Nothobranchius furzeri: one gene and its partners. The protein of the gene in region 1 interacts with the protein of each later gene in a pairwise test. Links are inferred from orthologs where the notes say so. Each region holds a gene or a part of one and is shown in the gene's direction. Other genes may lie near its edges. The genes, in order: stam2, arrdc3a, rnf11b, klhl42, plekhb2 and dazap2.

What was found.
Region 2: the proteins of stam2 (region 1) and arrdc3a interact in binary tests that used the Homo sapiens proteins (3 or more experiments, as listed by UniProt). The two-hybrid records come from large-scale screens. The link is inferred for Nothobranchius furzeri from reciprocal best matches to the Homo sapiens genes STAM2 and ARRDC3.
Region 3: the proteins of stam2 (region 1) and rnf11b interact in binary tests that used the Homo sapiens proteins (3 or more experiments, as listed by UniProt). The link is inferred for Nothobranchius furzeri from reciprocal best matches to the Homo sapiens genes STAM2 and RNF11.
Region 4: the proteins of stam2 (region 1) and klhl42 interact in binary tests that used the Homo sapiens proteins (3 or more experiments, as listed by UniProt). The two-hybrid records come from large-scale screens. The link is inferred for Nothobranchius furzeri from reciprocal best matches to the Homo sapiens genes STAM2 and KLHL42.
Region 5: the proteins of stam2 (region 1) and plekhb2 interact in binary tests that used the Homo sapiens proteins (3 or more experiments, as listed by UniProt). The two-hybrid records come from large-scale screens. The link is inferred for Nothobranchius furzeri from reciprocal best matches to the Homo sapiens genes STAM2 and PLEKHB2.
Region 6: the proteins of stam2 (region 1) and dazap2 interact in binary tests that used the Homo sapiens proteins (3 or more experiments, as listed by UniProt). The two-hybrid records come from large-scale screens. The link is inferred for Nothobranchius furzeri from reciprocal best matches to the Homo sapiens genes STAM2 and DAZAP2.

What each region holds. Positions count from the first base shown.
Region 1 is NC_091754.1:32,010,880-32,015,715, forward strand, and holds the start of stam2 (signal transducing adapter molecule 2), read left to right. Parts: upstream 1-1,857; 5' UTR 1,858-2,000; coding exon 2,001-2,040; intron 2,041-3,716; coding exon 3,717-3,801; intron 3,802-3,928; coding exon 3,929-4,004; intron 4,005-4,836. Other genes in the region: hacd2 (very-long-chain (3R)-3-hydroxyacyl-CoA dehydratase 2), read right to left, coding at 733-857.
Region 2 is NC_091757.1:41,570,792-41,575,503, reverse strand, and holds the start of arrdc3a (arrestin domain-containing protein 3a), read left to right. Parts: upstream 1-1,444; 5' UTR 1,445-1,655; coding exon 1,656-1,935; intron 1,936-3,291; exon of another isoform or gene 3,292-3,319; coding exon of another isoform or gene 3,320-3,362; coding exon 3,363-3,444; intron 3,445-3,546; coding exon 3,547-3,694; intron 3,695-3,786; coding exon 3,787-3,889; intron 3,890-4,057; coding exon 4,058-4,314; intron 4,315-4,712. UniProt on the Homo sapiens protein: Adapter protein that plays a role in regulating cell-surface expression of adrenergic receptors and probably also other G protein-coupled receptors.
Region 3 is NC_091748.1:56,842,049-56,846,889, reverse strand, and holds the start of rnf11b (RING finger protein 11b), read left to right. Parts: upstream 1-1,698; 5' UTR 1,699-2,329; coding exon 2,330-2,452; intron 2,453-4,841. UniProt on the Homo sapiens protein: Essential component of a ubiquitin-editing protein complex, comprising also TNFAIP3, ITCH and TAX1BP1, that ensures the transient nature of inflammatory signaling pathways. Promotes the association of TNFAIP3 to RIPK1 after TNF stimulation.
Region 4 is NC_091741.1:34,811,539-34,816,502, reverse strand, and holds the start of klhl42 (kelch-like protein 42), read left to right. Parts: upstream 1-1,794; 5' UTR 1,795-2,000; coding exon 2,001-2,761; intron 2,762-2,835; coding exon 2,836-3,029; intron 3,030-4,809; coding exon 4,810-4,964. UniProt on the Homo sapiens protein: Substrate-specific adapter of a BCR (BTB-CUL3-RBX1) E3 ubiquitin-protein ligase complex required for mitotic progression and cytokinesis. The BCR(KLHL42) E3 ubiquitin ligase complex mediates the ubiquitination and subsequent degradation of KATNA1.
Region 5 is NC_091748.1:41,161,344-41,165,975, reverse strand, and holds the start of plekhb2 (pleckstrin homology domain-containing family B member 2), read left to right. Parts: upstream 1-1,579; 5' UTR 1,580-1,719; intron 1,720-2,252; 5' UTR 2,253-2,261; coding exon 2,262-2,298; intron 2,299-2,397; coding exon 2,398-2,550; intron 2,551-2,656; coding exon 2,657-2,759; intron 2,760-2,883; coding exon 2,884-2,923; intron 2,924-3,172; coding exon 3,173-3,253; intron 3,254-3,471; coding exon 3,472-3,586; intron 3,587-4,632. Other genes in the region: ing5a (inhibitor of growth protein 5a), read right to left, coding at 967-1,003. UniProt on the Homo sapiens protein: Involved in retrograde transport of recycling endosomes.
Region 6 is NC_091755.1:37,293,916-37,298,831, reverse strand, and holds the start of dazap2 (DAZ-associated protein 2), read left to right. Parts: upstream 1-2,003; 5' UTR 2,004-2,154; coding exon 2,155-2,167; intron 2,168-4,077; coding exon 4,078-4,196; intron 4,197-4,290; coding exon 4,291-4,539; intron 4,540-4,621; coding exon 4,622-4,750; 3' UTR 4,751-4,916. UniProt on the Homo sapiens protein: In unstressed cells, promotes SIAH1-mediated polyubiquitination and degradation of the serine/threonine-protein kinase HIPK2, probably by acting as a loading factor that potentiates complex formation between HIPK2 and ubiquitin ligase SIAH1.

The sequences.
Region 1 (4,836 bases):
ATTTATATCTCGAAGAAACCAATGATCACTATAAATTTTCCAATAAATATTAGTTGATGGAAACAATTATACTAAAGAGAAATGTAAGAATCTCTACTGTAGATCTTGAACTACATACATGAACTGAACTGAAGGAGGTTGGTTCAGTCCTCATAAGCAAAGACTTTGATTGGCCAAGTCTTATGGCCTTATCAGGCACAGCCAATCATTTTAAAACAGCTCTGGTTAAATATCACCTAAAAAAGAAAGAAGACCCATTGAGATTAAGGTTTTTAGGCCCATTTAAAGGAAATGTCATCATCTGGATGCCACACGTTAAAATTGTGTTCGAATTTCATGTGAGAAGCCAGATCACACACACGTCTTTAACTTTACTGGACTGATGGTGAAAAAAGTAGCACAATTAGTAAGAAATAAAATAAAATTGAATCTCAACATAACCAGCTGTATTTCCTGTTGTTTCTGGATTGTAAACACCATGGCGTCCATGCCAGCTGGCTGTCTGTTGCTCATGTTAATCTGTGTAAGCCGTAAGAAGTCGAGGATGAAATTATAACACCACAATGTCTCCAATTATATTTAAGCATTTTAATACTTATGTATTATCGCATCAAATTGTTTATTTATTTTTTTATTATTATTAGGATTTTCGGGTCCTGACCTGCATGCAGCGCAAATGCACACACGGTCCAGCTCACCAGCAGCGTTAGCACGAGGAAACACATTACATACCCAGCTGTCATCACAACATTGTAAATAACCAGGTAGGCCGTGGCCAGGGCACTGGGTCCCTTCTTCTTCTTCGAGCCCGCATCACCGTGGGCCGCCTTGCTGGTCCCCGGAACAGCTGCCGACATGACTCCAACCCTTAACGGTCCTAAACGACGGTGGACGTCAGGCTGAGTCAGGAAACAATCGGGAGTTACACCAGGAAGTGTCGTCACAAAACAAGATGGTTCTAAACTTCTTAAACTTCCGGTTTGAAATAAGAGCAGGCATCGATGAAGCAGGGGTTTGGGGGCTGAACTATCTTGTAACTCTTGAATCACGTTTCTGCTGTGCGTTTGTCGTCCTCCTGTGATGATTTTTATTATACAGAAATCTCCAAATCCATCTCCATCAATTTTCTGGCAATTTCACTTTGCATTTGCATTGACTTGGTTTTAAAGAAAACAAAACGACATTTAACTTCCTGAGACAAGATAAATACGTATTTTAAAAGATAACGTTGAACACATTTATAATATGTAAATAAGACGGCACAACACTACACTGCCTCCTGATAAAACATCAGAAATAAAGAAAAAAAAACGGGTTCATTTTAATGTATTTTTATAAAGAATAAAACAACTTTGTAACAAAACCACGATTTAATCAGATTTAAGGCTCAATCCAAAAATTATTTTAAAAAGTATCTTTTTATAGCTTACATTTGCTGCATAGTAGTGTTGGAACACAAGCTTTTCCTTTTTTATTCGTAGTTTTTAGTGGACGAAGGTTTTATGTATGTATGTATGTATGTATGTATGTATGTATGTATGTATGTATGTATATATATATATATATATATATATATATATATATATATATATATATATATATATATATATAGTAATGTAAGTTTTATATAAGTGTTGGAGCTGCTGTACGAAGTGAATTTCCCCACTGTGGGACCAATAAAGTCTATTTTATTCTATTCTATATTATATAAATACTTTATATATTTCATATATTTCCTAGCAAAACTACTGAAGTGTTTCTCTAGCCTGGCAAGCCAGACTAAATCAATGTACTACTACTAGTGTTTCTCGGCTCTCCTCCCAACCGAACAGGCATTTGGGAAATAGCTATGACGACAGGGGTGCCGTTTTTGGCACAACACCGGAAGAGCAACTAGTGCAAGTTTAATGGACAACAAGGAATAAACGCTTGTTTAAGTTTAGTCTCGATAACACGCGTACTCTTCTTTGTCGGAGCCTAGTTTCTTTTGAGTCGCTAAAATGCCTTTATTTTCCCAAAATCCCTTCGATCAAGATGTTGGTGAGTGACTTGTTTTATTGTTGGTCTTTTCATGGACTCAGAGCAGCTGACGAGAAGCTAATGCTAACGTAGCTTAGTGAGCTCTAAAGTTACGATATTTCAGCTTTGGCAGTTTTAATACGTTCAACCCTGACAGGTTTTGTCCACTTTTTAACGTTTTGTTGACTTCTTGTCAACAACTTTTATCTAGTCTGAGGGTCATTTCGGGCGTTGTTTTGTAACCAACTTAAGTCTGACTCATGATAACAGCTAGCTCTTTTCCTAAAAAAATAGCAAGGGCCCTTTAAATGTGTTAGTTTTAACCGAGTACACTTTAAAATACTCGTAAATCCAATTAAATAAATTAAGATTCATAACTGAGACACAGGTGGATGATTTATTTGTCATAATTTACATTTCAAATTTTAAATTAAATTTAATTTAATTTCAAGTTGTTTGTCAACACAAACTAGTTTATGGATTTTTCTCTTACAAACGTTTCTAATAATATAATGTTGTGCTTTATGATCTGAAATGGTAAGTGGGACATAAGCATGTTAAAGATTACTTTCTGGCTCAAAATGCTTTTGTTTCAAAATTGTATTGTTATTATCATTAAAAATAATAATATTGGGAGTACATTTTTACCAAACAAACAGAAAAAATGCAGGTCTGTGAAGGCTTTATCATGTTTTATTTTAGATATTTTTGGTTTTATTTATCAAATTGCCCAACAGTGTGTATTAAAAACCCAGCAGGGGTTGTAGTGAGGTGTAGATCTCTGGAAATTAAACAAATATCGCTGATGTGTTGTTTCCACTCCCTGTTACCTCAGGAGCAATTCGGCTCAATTCTCAGAATCACGTTTATTCTTATTTTTCTCCACATGTGTTTGCTTTTGTGGTTCAGGGATACTTGTCTCACTAATAACAGTAATATTAGTTCTCAGCTCAACTTAAACATTTTCTTATTAAGCCTGTGTTTTAACTGCGCTCTGCTGGGATGGTTGAATCCAGTTAAACCATTATCAATTTGAAATATTTTATTACGCTCTTTTCATAAAGTTTGGTGCTTTAGAGCTATTCAAATGAATATTAAACGGAGATAATACCAATATTTAAAACCAACATGAGTTTTTTTATCATCAATATAAAATATTAAGACTTAATTAAAATGTTAATGATAATGTAGGAAATTTAGAATACAATATTAAAGTTCCAGAATTGTGGCTCAACAGTTTGTGTCATTAAGCCACAGCAGATGAACGGACTTAAAACAACAGACAACAATGTGGTAAAAAGTGAAATATGAAACTATTATTATTCAGTTCAGTGCAGGTGAATTAAAAATCAACACAAAGTGGCTAACATTATTCAAAGCAGTTGTGATATTACTGCTGCCAAGTCTAGATGCATCTTTATTGTTCTGAATGTAAATTCTCTTCATCACTTCCTCGTTTGCCGGCCTTTCCCACCCCAGCAGCAGCATGCTTAGACCAAACAATGGTGCTCTGTGGACTCAGGAGTCATGACTGTTGTGCCAAATGTTCATCTGAGGGAGGTTGTTGGGAGGTGGTTGTGCTTCATTGTGTGACCAAAGAGCCCGGTGGCACTCGCCTGCTGTGGCTGGCATCAAAACCCAGCAGCCATGATGGCAGCGAGCATGTTTTCTCACTTGACCATATGCACCATTTCCAGAGAAAGCAACAAATGAAAACAACACAACAGATGACTGGGGGCTCATCATGGACATCTGCGATAAGATTGGAACGACAGCCAATGGGTGAGCTGGGCAAAGACACTGAATAATTCCTGGAGTGATTTAGTGAATGGAGTCTAATGCCACACATATATGGTTTGCTAACAATCCCATTTCCTGGAGTTAATCTGGTTTATCTCCTCTGGTTCAGCCCGAAGGACGGCCTGAAATCCATAATGAAGCGAGTCAACCACAAAGTGCCTCATGTCGCCATGCAGGCTCTCAACGTGAGTTTCATTCTGCCTTTTAGGCTTTAAAGTTAAGAAAATAGAAAACTAAGGTGAGTAAATAATTTGTGTGAAATTTTCTGCTCAGACTAGCAGTTGGCTTGTCTATCACCCCAGGTTTCCATCAGATGCATAAGCGACGGGTAATGTCTTCCAAGCGAAGTCCACAGCTAACGGTCACCGTTCTAGTCTGTGGGTGTGTTTCCCCCAGGCGTGCAGCGGTACGCCTCAGACACGTTGTAGTGTAGCATCGAGGCCTCCGGTAAATTTACGTGCTGCTGGATCTGTCTTACATGCTATGGTTTCAGAACATGCTCAGCAGCTCCGATCAGTCCAGACAGGAAGTCAAACGTGGCAGTAGGGCTGTGCAATAAATTGAAAATGTATCTTTATCGAAATTTGTCACTTTTATCGATCATTTTTCTCATTTCAGTAAATTAGATAATAAACAAATGAAAAGATGTGTGTAGGTTGGCAACGTTCATGGCCTTTTAAGAAGCTGTACCACCTTAAGTCACGTAAAAATGTGATTTAATGTAATACATGTGACAGCGCCATCTAGTGGACAACATTTGTTTCTGCACATACCTGTAGTTATCGTCCATTTATCATTATCGAGGTGAAATCCTCAATATATCGTGATATTGATTTTAAGCCCTATCGCCCAGCCCTACGTTGTAGCTGTTTGTCCTAGCTTGTTATCATGTGATCTGGTGAAATCACATGTGATCTTGCAGTTCTCCTGTGATTTTCATTATCTTTTGAGATTAGCTGCGTGGAACGCGTTCGCAGCCACCGCGTGTCTGAAACAGTCCTGGTAGGAGGAGACGCT
Region 2 (4,712 bases), on another chromosome or scaffold:
TTTTCTTTTTTAAATAATTTATTTTTACTACCGCGCTGTCGGTGGGAGGTATTGTATTTACTTCCTGGTCATGATTTCAAAATAAAAGTATACTATAAAAAAAGGGGGGGTGGGGGGGTTGTTTCGTGTCCATGGGGACAAAGAATGAAACTGATATTTAGAAGGAACTGAAATAAAATAAAACTCAAACAAAATCCATCGTTCATTAACCAATTCATGCATAAAAGTATAGTACCACGAATTAATAAATTATAAACATTGCTAGAAGAGTGTCCCATCTTTTTAATTCAGCGGCAAAGTGGACACTAGAGGGCAGCATGCAACTAGGCATTAAACGTTTGTTTTTTTATTTATTTTTTTAATATTTTGCTGAGCTGGCACTGCAGTCATCCCACCTGTATCTATTGACATCCTAACGTTTAAGGTGCATGTCAATGTGTCCTTTGTATAGATAAAGTAAACAGCTTTCCAGATGTGTTTTATGTAATATGGGAAAAAAACATTAATGAATGCACTAAATGGCATTACATATGGTGTGTCAGGGAATCTATGAAGTTTATTGGATTTAATTGGAGGTAAATGGCATTTGTTAATACTAAATTATAAAATAAAAAATCCCCGTCAGGACAATAATGCCTGATTACCTTTCGGGCAGCATCCCCATACTGGCTGATTAAAAGTAAAGAACATTGGTATTGTTGCAGATCAACAGGTGATTCTGCTGCAGCCCATAGTGGGAACATTGGTTGCCACTAGGTGGCGTTTTGAGTCACGAGTTGTTTTTCTGAAAACTGGGAGCTCAACACAATGAGAAAGAGTCTTCTCAACATACACGGATCAGAATCAGTTAAATAACAATCAAAATGGGTCAGGTATATGAGTTACAACCACAGATGATCTGTTTTTAGTTTTATAATTAATATGCATGTTCTATACATCTACTCTGAACAGCCCTATGCCGTGTGCATCATGCAAAATGCAGCTCTTTGGATTTTACAATGACATTGCTCTGATTATGTAAAAGCGTTGTGTAAAGTGTTCACAATAAGCCTGCAGGCTGTGGCTCCAAAATAAAAACAAAATTCACACGTTTTGTGTGATTTTAAAAAATACTTACTCAAATATTGAGGTGGACTATGTACAGACTGGACTAAATCTTATTATTATATTGATAATTGATATTTTTAATGTTACAATTCGCCCCAAAAGCCTCACCCAGGACTATTGCAAATATTTCTTTATGCGGTGTTTCAGGTGCTTTTACCATACTTGCAGGGCGGCTGGATGAATGTGAGCTTTGCCTCACACTGCTCTGCCTGCCTTGTTCCAGAAGGCGAGAAGGTGGGGGCTGTGCAGCCACGCGCAGGCGCAGAAGGTTGTTTTTCACACAGCTTCTGGTTTAAAGTGAGCTGAGCTCCGGGGGTTTCCTTGTCTGTGACTGAGACCATCAAGGAGACAGGCAGATGATAACAGCATCCATTGCTGGTTATCAGCCTTCACAAAGCTCAATGAACTGCTCACAAAGAAGCCACTGATCGTGCCCGCTGCTTCTTGCAGGGCAGAGATACTGATCAGTGTCTCCAACCCCGTTTTTCTTATGAGATTATTTTTTCATTAACTCCTTTTTTTAGAGCTCGAGAAGATCTCTTTCCGCCATGGTGCTAGGAAAGGTAAAGAGCTTCATAGTGAGCTACGACTGTTTTAATGACAGCAACGTCCCCGTCTTCTCCAGCGGGGACTCCGTCTCAGGGAGGGTGATCGTCGAAGTCACCGGAGAAATCCGGGTGAAATCTCTCAAAATCCACGCAAAAGGAATAGCAAAAGTTCGTTGGACTGAGTCAAGAAACGCTGGATCCAACACTGCCTACACCCAGAACTACACAGAAGAAGTGGAATACCTGAACTACAAAGATATTTTAATTGGACATGAAAGAGGTAAGAAGTTTTGTAGAAATTGTGATGCTCCCCTGGTTGGGGATCAGGTTCGCTGAAAGATATAGAGTTGCAGGGCTCAATAACAGGATAATTGGTTCGATTAAAGACTAAATAAAGACCTGTCACTTTATTGCCTTATTTCAGACGAGATGTTCGGTGGGTATTTAGTTGTCTTTTAAAATCTCCATCGTTGCTTGTTTTTGTGGTCAGAATGAATGACAGCTGCTCACGTATCTTGTGTTTTTCATGGCATTTGAGGCGCATAGGGAGGATTTATCTCATTTAAATACATATTGGAATTGAGTTGATTCTGTATTTTATAGCTATGAAGCTTTGTTTAGAAATTTCATCGCTAAACAACGATGAAGTTTCCACCTATTGTTCAAAGCGGTTCAATCCTGTTCCGAAAACTGGTTTGCGAGGGGGCGGGGGGAAAGCCAGAGCGCACCCTGGCTCGTGTGTGATTGGTTAAGATGCTAGTGTGTGGCCAATGACATCATTCCCCTGCAGAGTGGCAGAAAAAACTGCAACTTTTTAATCAATGTAAAACACCTGCAGGACACGAAAATTGGTGGTTTTACTGTAAATTTTAAGGAATTGTGAGTTGCAACCAGGATGTGCTGGACATTTGAGATTTCTTTGCTCTTAATTTTTAATTAAAATCAAGAGTTTTTTTTTTCTTATACCAGTGAATGCAGTAAAGCTTTTATTTGCATGTATTCGGTTAGGTCTGTTAGCATGGATTATGTTAAGCTAACATGTCCGAGACGTGGTGATATTGTCGCTGAACGATTTAATATTTATTAGCGTTGGGAACACGTGTTTAAATAAGTGGGTAGCAGCTCCTTTAGTCTTACGGGACCACAGAGCTTGTCAGACGCATTTATGTATGTGGTTGTTGTGACTGCGGCGTCGCGGAGTGAATACGTAATGCCGAGGGAAGCTGCTCACACCGGTTTAGTCCGGTCTTCTCCTGCTGGAGTCTGTCTCTTGACTGACAGCTCCGCACTTGTTTACCACACGGCTTCTGCTAGGGGGAGGGTGTGCTGAGCTGGCAAGGGCTGCGCACACGTCCTTATCCGCCACATATTTACCTTTTCATGTAAAATGAGCAATATTAAATAAAAAATTCATAATTCCCCCCCCAAAATAAGTGAGAAGGCATCGCTTCGCTTTGCCCCATAAAATTACTTGTGCATTAGCATCACTCACGTTCAGTTTCTGATTTCTCCAAATTTTACTCTGCTGTTTTTTAAAATCTCAATACACTTAATTTCTAACAGACAAGATCAATTGTAAAACCCGTTTATTCTCTTTTTGTCTCCCCCACCCTGTGTTCTTTGATATGACTTACAGATGCCTTCGTAGAGCATTTTGTCCAGGTATGGTATACATGTGTTTGGAATATTGTCCTCCTTGTTTTTCAGACGATGACAACTCGGAGGAAGGACTCACTACAATCCATGCAGGAAGGCATGAGTATGCATTCAGCCTCGAGCTTCCACAGACGTAGGTGTCCCAATACGAAACTAGAATCAGAGAAAAAGTTATTTAGATTTGAGAACTTGACCGTTTTTCTCCTTTCTGCCCTTCTTTTACCGTCACCTGCAGACCTCTGGCTACCTCTTTTGAAGGAAAACATGGCAGTGTGCGCTACTGGGTGAAGGCAGAGCTCCACAGGCCATGGCTCCTGCCCATGAAGACTAAGAAGGAATTTACAGTCTTTGAGCACATTGACATCAACACTCCGTTATTGCTGGTAAGAAGTCATAGGAATGATGAAATGCATAGCTTTTATGTTTGTAAACTAAGAAAAAATGTTTATAAGATGTTTTTTCTCTACTTTTTCAGTCGCCTCAGGCCGGCACAGCAGACAAGACGCTTTGCTGTTGGTTCTGCACCTCAGGTCCAATTTCCCTAAGTGCCAAAATTGAAAGGAAGGGATACACCCCAGGTGAGGATAAGTGAATAAACGATAAGGTTGTTACTCATCTGTTTACCAGATGAGCCAATGGGATGATCACATTCTGCAGGATTCTCTACTTGTTACTGATTACTCATAATTAGGGTTCCTATCACTAGAGAAAAATATTAACTTCCATTATGTCTTATATTTGTGTAGGCGAGTCTATCCAGATATTTGCCGAGATCGAGAACTGCTCGTCCCGCGTGGTGGTGCCAAAGGCGGCCATCTACCAGACACAGACCTTCTATGCCAAAGGAAAGGTGAAGGAGGTCAAGCAACTGGTGGCCAACCTGCGGGGGGAGTCCTTGTCCTCTGGCAAAACGGAGACCTGGAATGGCAAAATGCTGAAGATCCCACCTGTGTCCCCCTCAATCCTGGACTGCAGCATCATCAGAGTGGAGTACTCCCTCATGGTGAGTTTGGTCTTTCTCTCACACACTCGATGAACATTTAGGTCAGGTGCCCGTTTTTGTTGTTTGTATTTGTTTTGAGACGACGGGCATACAAGGGTTTCTGCTTTCATCAGAATCAATATTTCCTTGTAAGCCAATATCCCGGTAAAGGTGCCTGGCTGACTCGGCTTGCATAACCAAATCTGGACCTGGGATTGTACCAGGTGTTATGTCCGCATGCTGCTAAGCGCATTAGCCCAGAATAATGGAGGCAACACCTGCCCTGAGGGTACTAATAACCTCTTTACCCTTCACATAGACAGATAACTGATTTGAACACACTGACCCACATGACCAGTTTACCTAAATATTGGTTTGCAGATTGGAATGCACAGCTCTGTAAACTCCCATTTTCAAGA
Region 3 (4,841 bases), on another chromosome or scaffold:
AACTAAGAACTTTTTTAAATTCTAGATGAAGATGGAGTGTTTTTTCCTCAGTTGTGCCCTTGTTATGGACCTCTGCAGCTTTGTGTGCCTTTGCTGGCCTTGTTCACTTTGCCACGCCCTCTTCCAGAGACACATTACAGTTAGTCACTTTCTCACACATATTTTTTTTAACAAATTGAGTGGAGAAATGTGTGTTCATGTGTTTATGAAACACTGCTTCCAGCATGCCTTTTGTCTCTTTCACACTGGTTGCATTTGAGCAGAAACAAGGTTAAATTTTTGTGACATATTCAGTGCTTTGTCCCAAGTGATATGCTCAGTGCTGGGTACTAGACCTGAACCTGGTGGAGTTAAATAAAGCCTCAGATACATGACACACGAACAGCAGCACTATTTAAGTACCGGGTATAAACCTGTTCCACTGTAATGTTAATGTAGGTTTTGGAAATGTCTCACTTTCCAAAACCAGCTTGTTCTGTTTTAATTCAGAATGTGGGATCATGTGTTTACACTACATGATTGTTGTGTTTGTCAGAATCGAGGGAGCATCTTACTGAATATAACCCTGTATTCACAGCTTATGTTTTGGTTTTTGCACCGAGCTTTGTGTATCGCCCATGAAACTGTCAACTCTTGGATGTCAAACGGCCTGGGAGAGTTGGTCTTTACATTTATTTACTGTAAATGGCATCTTTTACATGAATTGTCCTGTTTTGAGAGGACAGATGAATGTGTCTTTTAGAAAAGGCAGACTCCCTCCTTTTCTCCTCCTGGTGTGTGGGACGGGCTCCAGCAATACTTGAGCTTGAACAAACAGGCCATTCACAGCAAGCGGCGTAGGACTGCGAGCTTGACTGCCGGCTGTATCTTTAGTGGGTGAAGAAACTCTTAACCCCCAGCAGCCATCAAGTTTTCACAGCTTGTGTAGACTTCAGTCGACTTCTTTTGCTGTTTCTCTACCTGCTATCCTGTTGCTAGAGCTACCAACAGAAGGACTTGAATGTAAAACCACATCCTGTGTCAAATAGTTATCTGCAGATGAACAAATACAGCTTTCCTCATAAACGATTGGCGAGTGGGTGATTGAAAAGGCTGAGCACCTGAAACCTGACAGTTCAGAGAACTCACATGGTGCCTCAAGAGTTGGGATACAAGTCCTGCTGATTTATTTATAACTGAGAGAGGTCTGGGGTACAGTTTAATTGTCTGAAGTCAGTGTCTAATATTTATTGGTGGAGGAAATGTATTATTAGAATTGTTGCAACTGCAGCGACTCTAGAATGTGTTGATTCTGCAAACTAATCATAATTTTCCCCATCCTTTTAGCTTTTACACTTGTATAAATGGAAGAAATTCAGCATTCAAAATTTTGTGTTTACACGTTCTGTATTGTGTATTGGGCATGGTTACCCACCAAGCAGGATGACTTCCATTTACATTTTAGTTGTGATTTATAATGAAATATATACTTTTGTGTTGTATTCTTTCCTTTCCACGTCATTTAAGTTCAATAATTTTTCAGCACACAGAACAAAAATGACACAGGTTGTTTGCATTAATTTGGTTTTGGATTCTAATTTAACAAATGAAAAAATGGCTTTGCAGACCAGAGGCCGCCATGGAACACATCTCATTAAACCGAGAGCTTCAATAACACAACTGATGAATGGTTTTATCATATAAAACTCAGAGGACAATTCCGATCTGCAAAGAAATCGTTCTTTTGGTAGGAACATGACTCATTTGCAGATTAACGTTGTGTGTTTACGTTTTCAATGTAAGGCAACGTGACCAACCATCTGATTGGCTGTCAACAAGAACTTCGTGAACGAAACTGAAAGCTGATTGGTCAGTTGTTTAAAGGAGCCGTCCCCCACGTTGTACGTCACCCAGCTTTTGTCATTGTTCAGCAGCTGCTTTGGAAAGTCCCTGGCAGCTAGATCGGACTCAGGCTGGAGAACCGTGGAAAGCTGTGTCACGTTAAATGAAGAAAGCAGTTATTTTGCTCGCTTTCTTCCTTCTGCTGATATAAAATTATGTTAAAGCCGCGATTCTGCGCCCAGACGTTTAGATGTTCCCCTCAGAGTGCTAGCTAGTGTTAGCAGGCTAGCTTTTTGTGTGGCTAGCTGCTGGTCTTAGTGATGTTTTGTTTTTGTTGAAGTAGCCAGCCCTCCCGTCGTCTGGGAGAGGAGCTTCATCAGCTGTGAATGGAAAAACGTCCTCTCGACGTCTTCTTATTTACTGACATTTTCTGTGGAAGTGAGCAGTGAAATCCGCTGCTGGTAGAGCGACGCGGTTAGAAGGTAGAGTTTGATAGAAGAGGAGGGAGATGGGAAACTGTTTAAAATCTCCGACCTCGGATGATATTTCTCTGCTACACGAATCGCAGTCGGACCGAGCCAGCTATGGAGACGGTGCTGACCCAGATCAGGAGCCACCGCCCCCCTATCAGGTATCTATTGACATCATAACTAAACTAGCTGTTGTGGTTTGATTCATTAAAACTAAACTTCACACACTGTGTGTTGTTTAGACATTTTGGTCCTCTTTACAATTTGTTTGCATTGTCTGCCTGATGACAAAGTCAGAAAATAAATGTTGGACGAACATTTTGAGAACCGGAATCAGCTGTATACAGATTATCTGACATCGTCCGTAGACAGTAACCCTACCCACTGACTCAGTCCTTTCATGATACTGTAAATAATCCTCTTTCTTACATCTTAAGGTCATTCTCTGTGCATAATATCTTCACTGTAATTTCTGCAGCACTGGTGTCTTAAATATCACCTGGAGAGTGAATTCATTCAAACTCACTAAACCCTGTGGTTTGGGTTGATGATGTGAAGGAAAAAGAAGCAAACATCTGTTATGAGCTGAAAATGACAACACAAGCTTTAATTCTCAGTCTTGAAACAGGCTGTAGCGTGTGTGTATTTTAAGAAAAGGCTGACTTCTCTCCTGCTTCTCTGACTGAACACCTTCAGGCAGCAACTTTGTTCTTGTCTGTTGTCCTTACTCCCTAAATTAGATCATCCAAACATAGACCAGGTCATGTCGTAACTGTAAATATTAGATTTGCTGTAAAGTATTGTGTGTGTGTGTTATTTTAGGACACTGGTTTAGAATGCTTGTTTCTAGGTCAAGTGAGGTCTTATCTGTAGGCTTTAAGATTGGAATTGTTAAAGCTCAAGAGAATAAATGCAGTGTCAGAACAACAAATGCTTTCATGGAGAAAAGTGACACAATCCTGTTGTTTTCATTCAAAATAAACAAATTCTATTAATTTAAGGGATTGGTTTGCAGTAGTTATTAAAAGAAAAGGACAAACTTTTATGTTACATTAAACTATAGAGAATAATAATAAATGGATCACAAAAATGTAATGATATCCAAATAAGTGAGCCATCTTGTGTGTGTGCGCATCCTGATACACTGATTAAATAATATGCAAACTGCATCTTCTCACTGTGTACACTATCACTGATACATTTGACCTTTATGAACAATAAATGCTGATTTGATTTGTCATCATTGCAAGTCATCCTTAGACTAGTATTAAACTACTCTAGGGGGGTCCATGGGCATGCCCCCGGTAGAAAACATTGGACATTTTATAGTGAAAAGCATCAGTTTGGTGCATTTTGAGTAACAGGCTGGTGAGAATGTATGATAAAGTATCTATACATGTTCACAGCATTATTATGTTATGTTTGAATGAGCCTATGTTGTAAGTAAATACATATCTTGGTAAGTTTACTCAAAGTTCCCAGATGTGTTCTTCCTCCGTCTATTGTATCAAGGATACATTAATGCATCTTTCTGCGGACTTGAGACAGCAAAATATGCTATACTGCACTGCCGTTTCTTGTTTTGCATACTCGTCTGAACTTGTGTACTCCCATCCTTGTGAAACGTCATCAGTGATGGCCCAAGTACAATTCCAATCCTAAGAACTCCTGTATGCAAGTACACAAGAGTTCCCGGATGTGTTCTTGCTCTGCCCATTGTATCGAGGATGCATCAAAGCTTCCTTCTGCGGACTTGGGACAACAAAGTATTGCTTAATGCATTGCGTTGCAAACCATTACACACAAACAACAGAGGAGAAAGCTTATAACTGTAGTGTATCAGAAATACAAATAAAGAAAAAAATATAGAGTTGTCTGTTATTGTAAATAATTGTGTGTAACCTGTAAAACTCGCAGTGTGAATTTTTTTATTTTCCAGACTCTTCATAATGTCTTAAAATGCAAATTAGGTGACCAACTATTAAAATAAAAGTAGCGTTGCCCAAAATAGCTCTGTTTAGATGAAAAAGAAACTTTTTTTCTTCATTTAACAATTGGGAAAGTAGGTATTTTATGTTTTTGATCAAAAGTGGACCAAGTGTTATACAAATATAATGTATTTATTGTTATTTTGTGTTTTAGAGAGAAACTAGACTTCCATTTTTATGTCCGGTTGTTTTTGTCATGACACAACGGAGTACGGTTCTGTTCCAAATGCCATCCTCATCCTCCCGTACTCAGTAGAACAGATTTTCAGGTGTGCTTGCCAAGAATATACTTGTCAAGTACACAAGAACATACCAGCATACTTGAATATTGAGAAACTGCCATTGTTTACTGCCAGAATTTCACAGAGTGATTGACATTGATCATTCTCTTATCATCTTTTATCTTTCTCACGGTCTTGCTCTGGGGCATTTTTATTTTGCTATTTTGAATAGAAATGTAGCATGCCATAGCGCTGGAATGACCACTTCACGTTTATTTGGGAGATTTTTTTTTTACCAGCAAATTTTCTGAACTTCATATAATAAGCTTTTATCACTTTTT
Region 4 (4,964 bases), on another chromosome or scaffold:
TTGAAGGTGATTTGAATTGTATCAGATGTATAACTATGACATGTGTATAACTTATTGTTTTATACTGGTAAAAACTTGTAGTGGAGATAAATCTACCTACTTTTACTTTACACTTAGTTTTGTTTTCTTGTTTTTATTGAACTATTTCCTGTCCTGTCTGTCTCTCGTCTTCCTGCGTCTCCTCTAAACTCTCCAGAAAAAACTGCTGCCAGGATTCTTACTTTTTCACCTCATCAGTTACTTTTGAGCAGATCAAATGGATCTCCTGACCGCAAAGCGGAGTGCGCCTTTCGATGCTGCGTCAGTGAGGTGAAATCACCGCAGCACCGCGCAGCACAGGTGATGAGCTGCGCAGCAGCAGAGCGCTTCAGGCACAAATAAGACAGAAAATAGAGAATATGTGCGGACATGAACGATCGTGTGCTAATTATAGTTTTTTGGTTGCGCCACTTTGAGAATGGACCGTGCGCTGGACGCAGCTGCCTGGATCGCTGCGCAATAACGCGCTGTGCCGCTCTTTGTGCTCTCTGCTCAGAAGAGTCCATAAATGATGTAATATAGATAGAAAACTTGTTTCCGGCTCCCCTGGATGTGTAAGATATACAGCTCCCCCATAATTCGATCCCTGCTCCTGGATGAAAAGCCGGACATTTTCATCAATACAAGAACCCGCAGTCCGGACGCCCGGACAGAGAGTGAAAAGTGGACATGTCCGGGGAAAACCGGACATACGGTCACCCTAGTTTAATATAATGCGGGAGATTACAGACATGCCTACAGTATTTTGCTCGTGCGCTTGCTGGCCTGGGCCCTTCGTGGGCCCTGGTCAATTGCCCAGTTGCCCATATGGTTAATCCGGCCTTGGCTGCATCTGTTTCCAACGCTTTCCTCTTTTTAATTCTTGCCTTCTCCGCGCCACCCTTGCTCTTTCTACTTTCCATCTTTCCGTCAACTGCGTGGTCACGTGGTGCGCACAGGCGCATACTGGGGAAAAAAAACGAGCTGCAGCCTGCAGGTAGAGCCAGCCAGAGACAGCCGGGAGGAGCGTATGTGATCAGCCCGGCGGCCTCAGTGCCATGACTGAACACCGGCACCAAAAAATAAAAATAAAATGATAAAAAACAAAAACGAGAGCACCGGCCCCATGCGGCCCAAACATCGCGCGGCCCACCGGGAATTCTCCAGACCCTCCCGATTAGCCACTCCGGGCCTGCACCTGTACTATAATTAGTTCTTTTTGGAATGTTTTTTGCCAAGTCAGGTCCCACATTAGAAAAAAAACTGTTAAATTCATTTACTATTTTACTGGTTTCACTCATTTCAGACTGTCCGTTTTCAAAATAATTCGGAACAGCTGAAGCTATTTTATTTCTTAATTTTAAATATTATAGGTTTACTTGAGTAATTTTATGTATACATTTTTTATATTTTGTGCACAAAATAAAATTATATATATATATATATATATAATTATTTTATTTTATTTTATTTTGTGCACAATAGGTGAATTTTGTTTCTTTTGTTTGTTTATTCTTGTTTCCAGGAAATGAAATAAAATAGTTTTTAAAATGAATCCGATTAGACGCCATTCTAGGACTGACCTGCAGGTGGCAGTAGGGCGGATGAGCAGCTCGACTCAACCGTATTTACACGAAGAAGCGCAGAATCAAAACACTGGAAATTTGACAGTCCGTTCCCACAAGGGTCTTGTGAAATTCTTGTTAAAAGAGCCGCTATCAAGGTCTAAAATAAACTGCAACATGTAGTTGACATATTTATAAACTAGATCCACTTTTCGACCGAACTGTCGAGGAATGCTAACCCGAGGAAAGAGCCGCTTTGGCGGGTTTGTCGGTGCAGCAGCTTGTTAGCTGATTAGCTTCTCTGGATGAGAGGAGCAGCTCCGTTTGGATTTATGGGCTGAACATGACCATATATAGCCCGGCCACGGAGCTCCTGCGCTGGTGAACTGTAAAGTCTTTCTGGAAGCTGTCTCCAACATGTCCTCAGACCAAATCGCCATCGTGGTGGACGACAGGACCTACGAGGTGAACAAAAATAAGTTGATCGAGAAAAGCGATTATTTCCGAGCGCTTTACAACTCCGGGATGAGGGAGTCTACTGAGGACTCTGTGCAGCTCCAGGGGCTCAGCGTTACGGGCCTGGAGCTGGTTCTGGAGTTCATCAACACCTCCAAAGTCCAGGTGGTCAATGAGACCCTGGAAGATCTGATAGAGACCGCCTCCTTTCTACAAGTCACCTCCATCCTCAAGCTGCTGACCTCAGAGATCCGGCTGGACAACTGCGTGGAGCTCTACAGCCTCTCTGAAGTCTACGGTACTCATGACCTGCGAACCGCCTGTCTGAAGTACATGAGCTGCTACTATCACCCCATGCTGAGGCGGCCTGAGTTCAGTAGCCTGCTTTCCGCTGTCAGGGACCAGGTCAAAGAGATGCGCATGAAAGGGACCGCCACCCTGGTGGCCATCGGAGACTTTACCTGTCTGTCGCTGGACGGTCCTGATCAGGACGAGCCCTGGTCCATGCTGAGGTATGGAGAGGTGGAGCAGCGCTGGAAACCACTGGCCAACAACCTGCCCCCAGACATGGTTAACGTGAGAGGGTATGGGTCTGCTGTCCTGGACAACTACCTGTTCATAGTGGGGGGGTACAGGACGACCAGTCAGGAGATCTCTGCTGTGCACTGCTACAACCCCTGCAGGAACGAGTGGAACCAGGTGGCTCCGCTCAATCAGAAGAGGTACATTTTCCTCCCACAGTCCCCGACTGTTGTTTCTGCCCTGTTTCATTCACCCTCTGTGTCATCTCATCCAGGTCCAACTTCAAGCTGCTGGCAGTGCAAGGGAAGCTGTTTGCCGTGGGAGGCCAGTGTCTCGGCACTGTGGAGTGTTACAGTCCAGAACAGGACTGGTGGACGTGTGTGTCTTCGATGCCTGACCCGCTGGCTGAGTTCTCGGCCTGTGAGTGCCGGGGTTTGATCTACGTCATGGGTGGATACACTGCCAGAGGTGGGAAGCTTAGTGTCGCCTGCTGAATGTTGTCACGTACTCCTGAAACAGCGAATGAATGAAAGAAAGTATGAAAATTATGTCACTCATCTGCAGTATCCAAAGTAATTTTGTAAGTCTAATCAATTAAAGTAGAAACACTTCAAATGGCATGTAGTTGTAGAGCGCCCTCCTGGGGTCCCCCCCCCCCCCCCCAACCCCCCAGGCACTTTACAACACAATCACACGCTGGTGATGAGGAGCCACAGCTGCCCCGGGGCGAGCTGACAGAGGCGAGGCCTGCCAAACACAGGCGCCACCGGCCCCTCCGACCACCACCAGCAGCAAGGCAGGTTAAGTGTCTTGCCCAAGGACACAACAGCAGCATTCTCTAGTGGGAGCTGGGATCAAACTGGCAACCTTCCGTTTACTGAACAACCTCCTGAGCTACTGCTGACACGAGGTTGTGGCTGAATTAATATCACTTTGTACGTCTTTGTCAGTAATGACCCTAAAATAGGTTGCAGGTATATTTATATTTGACGGCTCTTGGAGCGTTAATCTGTCAGAACTCGGCCTGAAAAGATCAATCAATCAAATTTTATTTGTAGAGCACCTTCCACAACGTTATCGGAAGCCCAAGGTGCTGAACAGCATCATCATAAGAAAAACATTCCCAGTACATGGGCATAAAAGCAAGATAAAATCATAAAATCATAAAATATCAAGCAAGCACTATTACAAATAAAGAGAGATAACGGAAATAAGACGAATCGATCAAAAACAAATGGTGGACAAAATAAAATCAAGCATCTGGGTTAAAAAGAAGAAGAATTAAAACCATAATGTCAGGGCAATTCAAAGAACCCTAGCGCTAAAATGCAATCAGATAAAAATGAGTCTTTAAACGAGACTTAAAGACGTGAAGGGATGGTGCCTGCCTAATGCTCAGTGGCAATTCGTTCCACAGAGTTGGAGCCAGATCAGAAAAAGCACGACAACCCCTCGATCGATATTTCGACCGGGGGACCACCAGAAGTTCCTGCTCGGCTGAGCCAAGAGACCGAGATGGAGCATACCTCTGCAAAAGTGCAGCAATGTATGAGGGGGCACTGCCCTGGAGGGCCTTATAAACGAGAGTTAAGATTTTAAACTTAGCTCGATATTGCACTGGGAGCCAGTGCAGAGCAGTCAGCACCGGGGTAATGTGCTCTCGACATCTAGTACCTGTCAGGAACCTAGCCACAGAGTTCTGCACAAACTGGAGCCGTGCAACCGTGCACTGGGCCAGACCAGAATACAGAGCGTTGCAGTAGTCCAGCCGGGACAGGACGAAGGCATGCAACACAGACTCCAGATGAGCTCTGGACAGCAGAGGCCTGATCCTGGATAGTCTTTTCAGGTTAAAGAAACAGGACCTCACCGCTGTATTTACATGAGTGTCAAGATTAAGTGAGGAGTCCATTTTAATCCCCAAATTACTGACCATTTTCTTTTCATAGGGGGTCAATGGGTCAACGTCAATATCAGCACCAGAGCTATTTCTTCTGCAGGACTAAGTATTATGACTTCCGTTTTGCTCTCATGGCCTGTAAAGATGTTCAAGAATTAAAAATGTCATTTTTCATAGTTATTAATTTAATTTTAATGTCGGATGGCTGTGTTTGATATAGGGATTATTAGATTTTAAAGGATTTATGTGGTGACAGTTTAATATCTCACAGTAAACCCTCTTCAGTGGCCTCCTTAAGCAGGATAATGTCATCTTGTACTAAAAGTGGCATCTTTCTGTGTTGGACAGACAGGAACACCAACGTTCTGCGCTACTGCCCCACGTCCGACTCCTGGGCTGTGCTCCGGACCTGCTCGGCTCACATCCGTAAGCAGCAGATGCTCTCGGTGGAAGACACCATCTACCTGGTGGGCGGCTACACCCACAAGCTGCAGGTGGGCCGG
Region 5 (4,632 bases), on another chromosome or scaffold:
AAGTTCAAAATGGATCATTTCTGACCTTCCTAGTGAAAAAAATAGAATGAATTACAATAACAAACAGGCTTTTAATTATCTCAGAACATCAACAAATCATCCACTTCTTGTTTTGATTACTTTAAGAATTCCCAAACAGAAAATTTACATTAATGAACAAATCAATAAAAGCATTTTCTGAATAACTAAGATTACAAATACAATGTAAAACACATAAAAGTCTCTTTTTTCCAGAAGGAATTTAAGTACTTCTCACCGTCAAAGACATTTGAATGAGATTGAATCTTATTGATCTAATGACACACGGGATTCCTAGTTTCCTTCATTTGTGACAAACTCTCGGTAATAACGTGATTATAACTGGAGTCAGAGTTCAAACAACTATGGTTACACAATTAAAGCTTATGGAGATGTATTCAATGCAACATTATTATTACTTTGCGCAATAGCAAAATAACTTTCAGTGGCAGAATAATAGTGTGTAACAACATCAGCTGCAGATGTGTGAGGATTTATAGTAACACAAGCTGAAAAGCACGTCAAACACCCCGCCTCGGCTGGAGTCTAAACAGTTACGGGAAACGCGGTTTTCAAAGCGATGCGCATACATCGAAGAGGTTGCTGCAAACATACAAACTGACAGAAAGTGATTTCAAATAAGTCAAAGATAAACAATATGCTCTTTATCAATAAAGTATTACTGTTGTAAATAAAAAAATAAGTTGATATTTTAGTAATAAGTGAAACACGGGAGGTTTATTACCGTGTTTATCAATGACAGTTTATTTCATCTTTACCCATCTACTTATCTCGCTGCGACAGCGAGTTAGCTGGAAAGCTAAAGTTTGCTAATGTAACAACTACTTGTCTCTACTTTTGAGCAAACTATTCGATAAAAATCAACGTAAAGCACAAAAACATTTTTGACAAGTTATTATCGATCTCGGTGCATTATCAGATACTTACTGTCCAAATAATGCTCCAAGTAAATTGCCGTCGCCATTTCTGGCTATGTATTTAGCTGCTGCGTTACTCTGCTGCTTCTGTGGTCACGGCTTCACGGGGCGCTGTTGCGTTTGTTTTACTATCCTGAGTTTGCCGCCGGGCGATGGCTAAAATGTTGGCTCCCGCCTTTCTATTTCCCCAGACCAAAATTAAACATTTTTGTTCCCAGGCAAACAGCCTAATTTCGTATTTGGTCACTTATATCTTTCTACACTCTTAACAATTCTAAAACTCAGTTCTTGTGCCAATATTTGTCCCCCACCTCTCACCATTTTCTAAATTCGATTTTATTTAAAGGTGAATTATTTGATGTTTAAAAAAACACTTTCACCGTCAATAAACAAATAAAACCACACATATTTGCATTGCCAAGAGAAGGGCAAATATTTCACGTGTGTGTGCACAGTGAGTGTGAGCTGTAACCAAGCGCACCCTTGCTGCTTTTTTGCTAGCACTTTCCACAGCTGTCAGCTGAGCGGTTACGTCATTCAAAACAACACACCTCCCTCTCCAGAGACGGGCCACTTGTGAAGATGCTCGGTGGGGCGGAGTTAACATTGACTGAAACATAACGGCCCTCCGGTCTAAACGCTGTAGTCACTTTGCTAACGGTCAGGCCTTTTCATCTCGAAGTAAGGCATCGACCTTTTGCATATCACTTCCGCGTTTTAATTATCACGAAAAAGACCGTTTGGGACAAACAGTGGAATAAAAGTAAGTATGTAAACCACAAAATAAGCTTGTTGTCTGACAGAATTGTACTGTTTTCTCACTTTGTGAACATTTTAAACTCATAAGTAGCCATGCTAGTTCACTAGCTATCACCTAACATCTGGAAACTAGCTAGCAAAAAATGCTATTTGTTTATTTCATTTAAACAATGTGTACTTATTTCATCCCATTTCATCACCTGCCATTGAGACCCATACAGTTTATGTAAATTAGAATTAAATGATTTGTATTAAATGCAGTACTATAAATAAACATAATGGCACAACATCTGAACTTTAAACACTGAACAGGAACTCTATTAAAGTCACACGGTAACTTCTTGTGCTAGCAGATCAAACTCATTTGAGCTAAGTCTGCTAATAGTGATCACTTTCTAAAAGACTTTAATTTGCCCTCCACGTGAGGCTGTTTTCTTCTGAAGGAGACTGGTCAGTTATGTTAGCAGTCATGAGGTTTGTTTTAGATGCACCACACCCAGTCATCATCTCCAGCTCTAACTGACTCACGTTGTTTAGGGGTTGCAGATGGCTATGGTAAAGAGTGGCTGGCTTCATAGACAAAGTGAGTAATTGTGTTTCTGTGTATTCAACTGTCCCTCAGTGGAAAAAAAAGGTCTACATCAAGAAATCTTGTCAAACAAGTGTTATATTTAACTTTTAGGTACCATATTACGCCGGTGGAAAAGAAACTGGTTTGATTTGTGGGCTGATGGCCGGCTCGTCTTCTACAATGATCAACAACGGCGCGACATGGAGGATGACATTCACATGAGAGTCCACTGCATCAACATCCGCAACTCTGGAGCATGCCAGGGTTTGTTTTCTTTCCACACATTTTTGCGTAAAAATCACACTTGCAGAATGTTATACACTTTTTTTGTTTAAAAAAAATCCTTCTCAACTTTTGTCCTTCCTCCCAGAACTGAACCCACCAGAGGGAAAGATACGTGATGCATTGTTCCAGATAGTGTGCAGAGATGGACGTGTCATCAGCCTGTGTGCAGACAGTGCAGATGATGCCCTGTAAGCACATTTATTTATTTATTTATTTTAACTTCTTTGCTGATAAAAGTGGATGCACAGAAATGAAATATGTTTACATTCTGAGAAAAACATAATTTATATTCTCAAACATTTTTTGTTGCAGTGCATGGACCATGGCACTGCAGGATGCCAGGATTAATACGGTGAGGTTTTGCTGCATCTGTGGGGTTCTGTATTTGTTTTGTTTGGTTAAATTCCTGAGCTAAAACTTTAAAAAGCATTTGAGTTACTACAAGTTTAAAACATTAAGCTTTAAGCTGAAGACGTGTTTTGTAATGTCTCCATCAGGGAGCCGATCATTCTCTGCTTTCATTTGTTCAGAAGCAATTGAACTCTTTTTTTTTTGTTATTGGTCGCTTGTAGAAGTCTCATTTAATTTGTTGATCATGTAGGTGGTTGCTACTCCTCAGATTGGTTTTGCAGAAGTGATTGCATCTGCTCCTCCCCCCTACTCCGAATATACTCACCCACAGGTACAACTGTTTGTAAATATGATGGGAAAATACAACAAATATCTATTATGTCATAATTCATCATTTTGAAAAGAGAATTATTTAAAAAAAAAACAGGAAACCTATTAGTTGAAAGACGGAGTTTGCTGCCACCTGCTGGTGTAGTTAATGGAGTACCCAAATGCATTTCTAACAAGTATTCGTGAATGTGTAACGATATATTTCTTTCTTTTTCCCAGGTTTATGCTCCAGGCCCATATGGAGACTACAGTGCTCCACCTCCTCGTCCTACACAGATGGTTTACTCTGCAGATGGCCAAGCCTATGCTGTTGCATATCCGTACCAGTACCAAGGTGAGTAACGGCACATGTTGTAAGCATGTAAATGGTAAAAATGGCCTGTATTTGATATAGCGCCTTCTAGAGTCCTGGAACCCCCCAAGGCGCTTTACAACACAATCAGTCATTCACCCATTCACACACACATTCACACGCTGGTGGGGATGAGCTACAATGTAGCCACAGCTGCCCTGGGACGCACTGACAGAGGCGAGGCTGCCGAGCACTGGCGCCACCGGTCCCTCCGACCACCACCAGCAGGCAACGTGGGTTAAGTGTCTTGCCCAAGGACACAACGACAGCGACAGACTGAGCGGGGCTCGAACCTGCAACCTTCTGATTGCGGGGCGAGCTCTTAACTCCTGTGCCACCGTCGCCCCATGTGACTGAAACAGGGGTCAGCAACTTTTACAAATGGCTATTTTTCCCCTCAGTTCACCAGAATAAAACTTGTTTAGAGTCGTATTTGTTGCAGGACCTTTTGAAAAACAAGAACATTTATCATTTTTGATTAATATCTAGGATTAGGGCCACTGAAATCTTTTTTTCTTCCAATTCTGGGAATAATGTGATAATTCGAAGAGAAGTCAGGATTCAGAGGTTAAAATCAGTATTCTCACTTTTTTCCTGAGATAAAAGTCTAAAACCTTTTTTTCCTTTTACTTAAATATCTACTTTATTAATCATCATCAGAGACTGGTGATGTTACCTCTTCCTCTGACCCATCCCCGTGGGGAGTGGTGAGCTGCAGTTGTGGCTGTGCTCAGGAACTATCTGGTGGTTTAACCCCCCAATCCAACCGCTTAAAGCTGCATGTCAAGCAGGGAGGCATTTGGTCCCATTTTTAAAGACTTTGGTTTTAACCCCGATCTCCCCGTCCCAGGACGGACGCTCTACCACTAAGCCACTGAAAAGGTATTAGTTGTCATATTTGAAAAGTCATCATTTTGTTTCTGTTATTGAGTTTTAAAATGGGGGAAAGAAAGTTTTCCAAAATAAATATATGGATATAATTTTTATCCTATGGGATGTTGATATTTGCAGAAAATGGTGTAAAAGAA
Region 6 (4,916 bases), on another chromosome or scaffold:
GATGTAAAGAGAGCCAGAGATCGGTGAACAGAGGTGAAGACAGGATCCACATCCACTGCAGAGATCACCACATCAGAGCTCTCCTCAGTTAAACACACTGAGACTCGTCAGATAATCAGCAACTTGTTATGTTGATGAACTGATCCCATGAGCAGTTTCTCACTCAGCAAACACGTCTGCGTTGCACTGATAGCACAGGAAATATAAAAAAATACAGTGAATCTCACACGTCCAGCTGAGAGTGAGCATTTCGCAGCAGCAGACCATCATCCACCCCCACATGAGGCTGTAGGCAAAATCTACTGAAAACAATGAACATGCAGTAACAAGTATTAAAAAACTATATCGTAATATTGTAGTCAGTGTTGGGAGTAACGTGGTACAAAAGTAATTAATTACTGTAATGCATTGCTTTTTGCTGTAATGTGTTAAAGTAAGGCATTACAGGGAAAGAAAAACATTTACTCGGTACAATTGTCAGTAACGCGGTAATTACAATGCTTTTTTAAACCCAGAATCAGTTCAAATTGCGGGAAGCCTGAAAAAAGATCCAGTATCTACATATATGACGTCATTTATGGACTCAGCTTTGCGGGCGTTCTATGAGCAGAGAGGACGCAGCGGTAATGGCTCAAATACTCCAGCTGCGTCCTGCGCGCGGCCGCTGTTATATTCACAAAATCGCTCCACCAAAACCAGTGGCGTGTCCATATCTTTTAAAATGGGGTGGCCCAGTTGAGGGACAACTTTGTGCATGGGTGGCACCAATGGTTATGCTTTTTTTGTTTTACCCCCAAGCCTTTTGTGGACAATGAAAAGCCTATTTAAAGGTAAATTAGTGTGATGGCACCTGGGGTGGCCAATCAGATTCCAAGGGTGGCATGTGCTACCCCAGGCCACTCCCTGGACACGCCTCTGACCAAAACAAAGTAATTCGTGTGCGATCGTTTATATCAGTCCATATTCTCTGGTACTTCATGTACTTTTCAGCTGACTTCATAATCTGTGCCCCGGTGATTTCAACTTATTGCTGCTGGAGCGCAACGAATATTAAGCTTTTTTTAAAAAAATGTTTATTTTATTTTTTTGTGGGTTTGGTAGATCCCTTTGGCTGATTAGTTAGAAAGTAAGAAATTTAGGGAACAGTTTTTCTGGAAGACGGAGAAAACATGCAGCATGCAGGAAGGTTAGAGAGAAAAAGGGCAGGAAATTATTCAAATAAAATCAAGAAAACAAAACAAAGTGCTTCAAAAGAAAAAAGTAGGTAGATTTATCCCCAATACACATTTTTACCAGTGAAAAGCAATAATATATAAGCATTTAATATTTATACATGTGATAGAATCAGATCACCCCAGAAGTCAGTCCCACATCCAGGGCCATATCAAGGCATTTGGGGACCAAGGCAAATATAGGCTTGGAGCCCCCACCATGCTCAGTTAATATAAGATGGCAGCGTGCTGAGAGTACAGATTGTTGTTGCTTTTATTTAATAAACAATAATTTTAAAGCACTGTTATTATATCTGACTGTTTTTAACAGCAACCCTAGCTAGCTCAGACACATCGACATACATATATGGACAATGGGTTTCCATAGACTTGCTCTTGCATTGTGGGGGCTTGCTCAGACACCACATCACTTTCCACATATATGTCATGAGCTCACTGAGCGTCAGATTACCAGATTCATATTGAAGTTGTATTGTTGAAAGTAACTTAAAGTAGTTCAAAAGTAGTTTAATGCCTTACATTTTAAAATCAGTAATATTGTAATGTAATGAATTACTTTAAAATGAGGGTAACAAGTAATAGATAATGCATTACAGTATTGAAGTAACTTGCCCAACACTGATTGTAGTACGCACTTAAGTATTAATTTCATTTTACGTTTAGCTAATATTTAGGGTTTTTTGTGCTTTTCATATTCCTTTAAAAACAAATCTCATTTCCTCCAGAAGGGGGCGCGCGCGTGCAGGTGAAACTGAGCGTGCGTCCGACCGCAGATAAAGAACGGGTGACGTAACCACTTCCACAACAACAAGAAGCTGAGAAACAAGGAAGTGTCAAGCCGTAAGCTATTATAAGGCCGAGACAAGATACACAAAGCGCCGTTTAATCTGATGTTCCTCAGCCTCCGAATCAGTCCACAACAATGAATAACAAAGGTATTTCTCCGTCGTGTGTTTCATTTTCCAGCTAGCTACTCGTTACTTGACGTTGGCGTTGTAAGGAAAGACGAGGAGCTCGCGTTGTGGCCAACTGAAGCTACGTACATAACAATAAACTGACGCACACTCCGAACCAAGCTGTCTTGGATATTGCTAACGTCGGATGTCCGAATTTAGTTTCACATTTTGTTATTTGACCAAAACGGGCCGGTCAGATGTGTTCCAGCAAGCTAACGTGATTATAAAAGCAAATCTGACATGGCTTTCCTGTTTTTGTTGGGGAGGGGGGGAGTTCTTGTTAACAAAGAACATCCCGGTTACATTTATGTTTTTAGACCTGTTCGGCGCAAAAATGCACCAGGTTGTTTATTTCTTCTTTTGTTTGTCTTATTTGAGCTTAGATTGTCTTTTTGTAGCATGACATCTTTGTTCGTGGCTAATGCTAATGACATTTCATGATATTTTTCTTACTGAATTAATTGTTTCACTAAAGCTAAAATAGAAGCAGACATTTTATTCAAACTGTAATGCGCGATGGTCGATTTGTCATGTTGGAAAGACAAAGAAAATGTAAAATTCACATTTGTTTACTAACCACCAGGCTTTTGTGCGTTGTGTTAATCAGATTCGGCTTTATAATAAAATCTTCCATTTACATTTTATTAATTTCTAATCCGTTCACTTGTGTTTTTACAAGTAATACATTTTTACCCTTTGCTTATACTGTCTGGGCTGAGAAAAGTGATTATGTCTAGTTTCCTGGTATTGTTTGCCATACAATGCACTCAAAACAAAACTAGAAACTCTCTTGGCAGTGACAGACTTGCTACAGTCATCACATAGTTTGTTATAATTATGCACAACAGTTTCAGTTGCTTAAATAAATCCCCCCTGATGATATTAAATAACATGTTTCCATCAATATTTAAACATTGTTCTTTCTTTTACTGCCGCCAAATGTTGGACCTAAAGACACTTTGTGTCAAAATCTGGTTTTTGTTCTTTTGTCTGTAAAATGTAGAAACGTTCAAAGTTGTACCCGAAAAAGACCAACGTTAGCTTCAGTATACAAGACATTGGGATTTTCTGTAACGTGTACCACTCAGTAGTTGCGTTCACATCAGTAATAATTTCATGTATTTAGCTGTAAATGTAATCAGCTCCCTCCCATCTCCACTCAGAAGCAGCATCAGTTTATTTATGATGATGATGATGATTGAGAAGAAGTACTTGCAGCTTAATGTTAGTAGTCAAAGTCATTAGTAATAATCAGGGATGTGTATTTTTGTAATTCTGGCGATACGATACATATCACGATACAGGGGAGACGATACGATGTATCCTGATATATTGCGATACATTCAGTCAGACGTTACAAGCTATTTTTTACTGAATTTATTATAAGCATGTTCAATAAACAGTCAAAACTGATATGTAACATGTTTAACATGAGGTATCTGAACCATGATGGAGGGATTTACAGTTCAATGGTGGAAACAAAACCCGTTGCACACTGCTGCCAACTAGCGGGTGGCGATTGAATTGCACAAAACGAAAAGAAAATACACAAATGTTTGCATGTTTGCATTCTTTCAAGAATTAGATACACGGCTTTTGAATATCAATGTAATAATCACAGGGAAAAATATCACGATATATTGCCATATCGATATTTCCTATATGCGGCTTTTGAATATCGATATAATATTGCTGGAAAAATATCGCGATATATTGCCATATCGATATTTCTGATACACAGCTTTTGAATATCGATATAATATTGCTGCGAAAAATATCACGATATATTGCCATATCGATATTTTCTTACATCCCTAGTAATAATGAAACGGTTCTCATCCCATAATTCTTCAGCTGTGCGTGTTTAAAAGTGAAATGTTGTTTTGCAGGCTCATACCCACAGCAGGCTGTGTACCCTCAGCAGAGCTCTGCACCTGTATACCCTCCTGCTATGCAAATGTCTCCTCAGGCACCTCCATACTCAGACACACCACCTGCATATTCTGAGGTAACGCTTGCATCTACAGGTCAAGCCTAGATTAGCTTTTTTTTTTTTTTTAGTATTCTTCAATTAAATCTGTTTCTCGTGTCTTTGTATGCAGATATACCAGCCCAGATACGTGCTTCCACCTCAGGTGCCTGGTCAGGTGCCTCAGATGTCCTCTCCCTACCCTGGTGCTCAGGTGTACATGCCCATGCAGCCACACATGCCCGTTGGTCCGGTGGGCCAGAACGTTCCCATGGCTTACTATCACATGGGAGCTGTTTACCCCCCTGGTTCAACAGTGATGGTGGACGGTGGCTTTGATGCTGGAGCTCGTTTCACAGCTGGCAGCAGTGTTTCCATCCCAGTGAGTACGGAGTGACTTAACCTGTAGCCAAGGCCTTTGTAACTCTTAACCTGCCACTGAGCTCGTTTCTCCTCTTCTCTAGCCCCCACCCCCTGGACACCCCCCTAATGCAGCTCAGCTGGCTGCCATGCAGGGTGCCAATGTTGTCATGACACAGCGCAAGAACAACTTCTTCCTGGGCGGATCCAGTGGAGGTTATACCATCTGGTAACAGCAGCTACTCCCCTCCTTGTTTATGCCTAAACCGTACCCCCGTCCCAGATGATTCCCCAGACCCTCCCTTACTCCATACGCCTTCCTCTTCAGGCTGCTTGGCCATGCCACAATACTGATATCACCTAATGGAATGTAATATTTTAGAGCCCTTTGTGAAAGGT